Linked DNA regions of Macaca fascicularis. The protein of the gene in region 1 interacts with the protein of each later gene in a pairwise test. Links are inferred from orthologs where the notes say so. Each region holds a gene or a part of one and is shown in the gene's direction. Other genes may lie near its edges.

Region 1 (3,665 bases):
GGCTCATGGGAGAAGGGGGACAAAGTACTGACTAGGCATTCTTTGCCCTACCTCATTTAGTCTGGCTTTGCCAGTGGATGTGGAGGTCAAGCTTCTCATTGGGCATTGCTGACCCCATGGATGGTAGGAAGTGGGATCCCTACAGGTCCTAACTTGAATTACCTTGTTCAGTTGTAATGATGCTGGGTGGGTATAGAGATTCAGCTCCCCACTGGGTCTCTCTGACACCAGAGGCAAGAGGTGAAGCCTAATGGTGACTAAACCCTGCCTCTTCTGCCTCATTGAGCCTTGTTGCTACTGGGTAGGAATTTAGGTTCAACTTGTCATTGGATCCCACAGAAAGAACCCTGGTGGAGGAACTGGAATTGTGCCTGTGTCTTCCACTTAGGAAATTGATGATTACCTTCCCACTGAGCCCTGCTGACACTGCCCCAGCAGAGGAATCAGCATTGACTGGCTCTGCTGGCCAAGGGATCAAAGATTAGCTAGTTACTGAGCCTTTTTTGATACCACTTGGCAGGGGAATCAGAGTTCTACATGGTTCTGCCCAGTGGGGAATGCCCACTCTCTTGTGGATACTTCTCAGACAGGGAATGGGTCACTTTGACTAAGAGCTGGGGGAGAGAGAATCCTATCTCCTTAGCTATGCCTACCCAGAAAGGAGCTTCTGTCATGCTGAGCTGGGATGAGGGGAAGAGAAAGAGCAGATTATGGCACAGACTTTAGCTATTCTTGCTGTGATTTAGTAGGTTTCTTAATAAATCTTTATTTACTATATTCCTCTAGGATAATTTCAAGTGACTTTGAGGGGTTGTTTTTTTAAATCATCTTTACCAGTTATGTTTGTTTTCTTGGGGTGCAGGTACGGGAAACTCCTTACATGCTGTTTTCTTCTCAGAGTCCTCCTGAGTTCATTTTTAAAATCTGATCACACTTTTTAAAGTATGATTATTGGATCATCCTGCATGCTTTTATGTTTTAGTGTAGTAGCAACTCCTGTGATGACATATGGTCACCTGGAGGGTCTTATAAATGAGTGGAACCTTGAGCTGGAAGATCAAGAGAAGTACTTTCTTCTCCAGGCCACTCAGGTCAATGCTTGGGACCGTACATTGATTGAGAATGGTGAGATGGTAAGAAGATGTTTTCATTAATCTACCTATATTGTGCAAGTATTTACGATGAACATAAGAACATAGACCTGTGTTTTGTGGTTTTCTTTGTTGTTGTTGTTTTGTTTATGTTTTTGTTTGTTGAGACAGGGTCTTGCTGTATCACCTAGGCTGGAACACAGTGGTGCAATCACAGCTCACTGCAGCCTCAATCTCCCTGGCTCAAGCAATCCTCCTACCTCAGCCTCCTAAGTAGCTGGGACCACAGGGGCACACCAGCACCCCCAGCTAATGATGTGTGTGTTTTTTCAGTAGAGATAGGGTCTCACTGCATTGCCCAGTCTGATCTCAAACTCCTAGGCTCAAGTGATCTTCTTGCCTTAGCCTCACAAAGTGCTGGGATTATAGGCATGAGCCACCATACCCAGCCCTGTGGTTAATTCTCTATTCCAATATTGGTGAGCAGTTCAAAATATATTCCTTAGGTAATAAGTACCCTGAATAAAAGGAAATCTTTCATATTTGAAGTATATTTGAGAAAATTAATATTGCTCTAAAATTGTTATATAAATTCAAATACTTATATTGTTGTATTCATATTTCTCTTTATAGATTAGTATTTTACATGGAGAAGTGAACAAAGTGAAACTGGATCAGAAAAGGTAGAACCTTAGATTTCCTTGGTTGAAAGATTAAAGACCTATCTTTTTATTCAGTGTTTTTTTTCCCTCTGTAGTTTGTTAACTCTTTTCTTTTTGTCACTCCAAATTCCTTTCATCAGCCCTTTTATTAACTTACTTTATTCAGGTTGGAACAAGAATTGGATTTTATCCTGTCAGAGCAGCAGGAACTAGAATTTCTGTTGACTTATTTAGAGGAGGCTACGAGCAACCAGAGTGGACTTCATTATCTGCAGGATGCAGATGAGGAGCGTGTGAAGACGTAAGTAACTGGATAAAGATTGAAGAATGGGGCAGGACTTACATATTACGAGAGCATTCCAGGAACAGAGGGGAAAAGTCGAATTGGAAGGCAAAGAATACAAATCGGTAGAAAGGGACAAGCTTTTGTAGTTGACATTTATCAATTTGTTTGACTGTTTTCTGCTTATCTTTTCTGGATGCTTGTAAATGAGGAAATCATTCTGGCAATTTTGTTTTATAGCATTTTGTTTATTGTTATTACTGTCAACCTTATGCATGTTCACTGTAAAGGTTTTGTATTTGTCAAATTTGTTCTTAAATTAGAAGTACAAATTTTATGTGTGTGGTGTCATGGTATTGTGGGATATTTGTGGTATCCTCTTTATGTTGATTCTGCTAAAACTAATGTTCATGCAATTGCTTTAGTGATAAATCATTTGCTATTTTAAAGGCAATTTGTTAATCTGGAGGCAAACTGTATAGCTTTCAAAAATGGAGTGATTTTGTCAGTGTATTAGGAGGGCTATATTTTATTTGTGAACTCTTCAGTCTTTACCTTCTGTCAGTACAGTGCCAATGTTTCCGAAGTAACTTTATTTCTCTGGAACTGAGGTTTGGTAGTCTGTCAATTTATTAAGTATTAGAATTTGTATGAATGAACAACATAATCTAGACTGAGACTAAATTGGACACATTTTATCAATAACTTATTATGAGTTAAGACTGGGCCTATTTTTAACATGCTTGCAAGTTAACTTTTTTGTAGGAGCATTAAATGTGGTAAGTACAACTAATCTGTATTAACCTAAACCAGTTTCTGCTTTTGTATTTCAACCTTTGTGAATTTTTCTTTTCTTTGTATTGCTTTCTATGCATTCTATCATTTTTTTGAAACATATAGAGTTACATTTTTGGCCATAAGATCCTAACTATAGTTTGAAGAAATCTTCATGACATTAGTTCCTTTCCAGTTGCTCTTTTGTAGTCAGATATATATTCAAGATGAAGTCTTGCTCTGTCGCCCAGGCTGGAGTGCAGTGGCACGATCTCGGCTCACTGCAACCTCTGCCTCCTGGGTTCAAGCGATTCTTCTGCCTCAGCCTCCTGAGTAGCTGGGATTACAGGCACGTGCCACCACACCCAGCTAATTTTTGGTATTTTTAGTAGAGACGGGGTTTCACCATGTTGGCCAGGCTGGTCTCGAACTCCTGACTTCATAATCCACTCTCCTCGGCCTCCCAAAGTGCTGGGATTACAGGCATGAGCCACCACACCCGGCCCAGATTTATATTGTGATGAAATATTTACCAGAATCTTCAACAATCTAGGCAACCAATTCTATGGCATAAGTACTATGCCATAGAAAGGCAGTAGATAGTTGTTACCTACAAATCTAATTGACTCTTTAAATCTTTATACACATTAAGGTTGAAAAATCCTCTGGCCACTTTAATTCTTATAAACATATTTATTGACTGGGTCGTGTGTGTGTAGTTTGTGTGGAAATCTTGAGAATTTAGGCAACTAGTGAACTTAGCAGATTTGTCTATCTTTGATTATCATGAAGCTCATTTCTCAAAACATCTTTTTTGCCTGATGGAGTATATTTATATGAGGTTTTATTTTGCAA
Region 2 (2,889 bases), about 35 Mb from region 1:
AACTGGTTTCTCGTTTTTTATTACTCAGCCTGAAGAAAATTCGTGGCAAAGTCTGGAAACAAAGAATATCTAGCCCTCTGTTCAACACCAAACAATACACAATGGAACTAGAGCGGCTCTATCTACAGATGTGGGAGCATTATGCAGCTGGCAACAAACCTGACCACATGATTAAGCCTGTTGAAGTCACTGAGTCAGCATAAATAAAGACTGCACAGGAGAATTACCCCTATACCTGAGCCTCAACCTTCTGGGGGAAAGGGAACTAGATAACATACTTCTTACTTGTCTGTACAGTACCTTGTTGCAGATGGGTGATATATAATGGTAATAGAATAGCACAGCCAGACTTGCTTCCTGCATGGTAGGGAGAGACACAAGAGATGGGAAACTGCTGTTCCACAAGGAATCTCCGTAGAATTTTGCAGCGACCAGATGGTGCATAGGTCTGGAAGGTCTGATCTCCCTTGGTCTCTTCCATGGGATGGTTAGTGTGGAGGGGAGATATAGATTGTCCGGCCGCTTTGTGATTCCATGGATTGATTCAGTCTTCTGGATTAACTTTTTTCTTTATATTTTGGGTACTGGAGCTTTTAAAAATGTTTGGTTTCAGGTATTTTTATTCATGTGAAGTGTATATGATTCTCTTGAGATAAGGTTTTAAGCTAAAATGTTACTCCCTGTTTTAGTTTCTGAACTCTGACAGATCGACAGGGACTTTGCTGGTGTAGTCTTTTTATAGGTTTTATAAACCACTTGAGCCTATATCAGTCGTTTTAGTGTCTGACCTAATGTTTGGAGCTATCAGTGCTTTGTTGATTTAGATGATGACTCAAGATTTTTTCTGGTCCATTTCCCATTTCCTTCTCTTCCCTGACCCCCATACCCCCACCCTTAAAATTCTCCTGTAACTCAACTAACAAAATCAAGTCTGATTCAAAACATCCTAGGGTGTTTCTCTTAAACACGCCATCTGGTGCCAAATGAAAATTTTTAGGAGTGATGACTAATTATCAAGGGCACAGTTGTGGTACTGTCATTGATAATAATATAGTTTTTTTTTTTTTTTTTGGCCTAATTTTGACCTGTTTCACCAGTGTTTTACCCTTGACTGCCCCTTCTATGCTGCTTCCAAAAGTGATAGTGTGTGTAAGATTTTTACCTTCCTTTCTAAAGTTTTTTTTTTTTTTTCTTAAAGTGAGTCCTGTTCTTCCTATTTCTTTCAGCAGAAATGAAATCCCAGGTAAGTATAAGTATTCAAGTATTTGATCAGTAAGTCACAGTTATCTCCAGTGCATTAAATAACCTTCATCAAGAAACAGGTTATAGGTAAAATCTCTGAAGGACCATCTGTGTATTCAAGTAATTATATTTTAGATATTCTGGACTTGGTCTTGAAGTCTGTACAGATTCAGCCTCAATAGTAGCAAACTGCACTGCTATTTGGTTTGGAGTACAAATTAGACTTATAGTCCTCCTGGAACTTGAGTTATTAAAGTCATAGGAATAAAATTATGGGATCTCAACAGAGTCGAGGGTTTGAGGCTTAAACAAGCCAACATATGAATATATGTTTTGTCTCGCTGTACTGCACTTACGCTATCCAGTCGCAGGTAATTTTTTGTCTGCCAGTAGTGTTCTAGATTATGTCTTTCCAAAGCGCTGAGGCTGTGCACCTATTCTGTAGTTGCAGCTGATGCCTGAATGTATCCTAGCTGACAAATTATTGATTAATAAGAACTTGCATTTCTGAAAGATGCTTACTGTTAACCAAATTTTGAGCTAGGAGTCTCAAAGGTAATTCTGAACCAGAATTACATGTTAATGAACAGTGTACCTTTTAACAATGTAAATCACGGAATATCCGTGAAGGGATTTCTTAATTTATTTTTTACTGGATGATTGAAATACCAGTTAAAGGTTGCCAGCATGGTTGCAGATAAACTGACGTTTGAAATTCACCGAACTACTTAATGTGGAATAGGGTAATATACTTCCAATGCCCTCAAGGCTGTGACCTTACAGCCATTTTACATAGCACATCATTCCTCCTACAGGGATGAACTTTTTCCTGGCACGAAAAGTAGCCGCTCTGGTTGAAGCTTTGCTTATTGTAACAGGCTTTTATTTCCAGGTAACATGTCTGTGGAAGACTTAATTCTGATTAGAGATATAGATATTACTGGAAACTAATTGTTTTTTTTTTTTTTTCTATTGTACTCTGCTTTATCAAAGAAGTAAAACATTTAAATCGTGCTACAGAAATTAAGATGTTGTCTTGCGATCCTTAAACAATAAATGATTTCCCCTTAATACGGCTGATGTATTTTGTGTCCTGTTATATTGAGTGGCTTGATGAATAGGGTCATCCAGTGATGAAACCTGTATTTGAACAGCCTCAAACAGCAGCAAAGGACCAAATTTCCCTTCTGTAGCTATGATATTAGGAATTGTTTTCTCAGCCAGGTCTGGTGGAGGGTGGTGGGTTAGTTTATGATCCATTAAGGCGGCAAAGTGGCTGGATGTGGTGGCTCACGCCTGTAACCCCAGCACTTTGGGAGGCCGAGGCAGGTGGATCACTTGAGGTCAGGAGTTCAAGACCAGCCTGGCTAACATGGTGAAACTCCGTCTCTACTAAAAATACAGAAAACTAGCCGGGAGTGGTGGCACACACGCTTGTAATCCCAGCTACATGTGAGGCTGAGACAGGAGAATCGCTTGAACCCAGGAGGTGGAGGTTGCAATGAACTGAGATCGTGCCATTGCACTCCAACCTGGACGACAGCCTGTGATCCCCAACACACCCATTCATGCTTGCTCCTCTTTTGCTTATGACCTTTCTGCTTTCATTTACCCTCGTAGTCTTGGTCTTCGTGTGGACCATTCTCT

Evidence for each region.
Region 2: the proteins of NUP62CL (region 1) and OGT interact in binary tests that used the Homo sapiens proteins (3 or more experiments, as listed by UniProt). The two-hybrid records come from large-scale screens. The link is inferred for Macaca fascicularis from reciprocal best matches to the Homo sapiens genes NUP62CL and OGT.

The regions. Positions count from the first base shown.
Region 1 is NC_088395.1:113,743,534-113,747,198, reverse strand, and holds part of NUP62CL (nucleoporin-62 C-terminal-like protein), read left to right. Parts: intron 1-982; coding exon 983-1,133; intron 1,134-1,724; coding exon 1,725-1,774; intron 1,775-1,919; coding exon 1,920-2,054; intron 2,055-3,665.
Region 2 is NC_088395.1:78,293,582-78,296,470, forward strand, and holds the end of OGT (UDP-N-acetylglucosamine--peptide N-acetylglucosaminyltransferase 110 kDa subunit), read left to right. Parts: intron 1-28; coding exon 29-203; 3' UTR 204-2,313; downstream 2,314-2,889. UniProt on the Homo sapiens protein: Catalyzes the transfer of a single N-acetylglucosamine from UDP-GlcNAc to a serine or threonine residue in cytoplasmic and nuclear proteins resulting in their modification with a beta-linked N-acetylglucosamine (O-GlcNAc).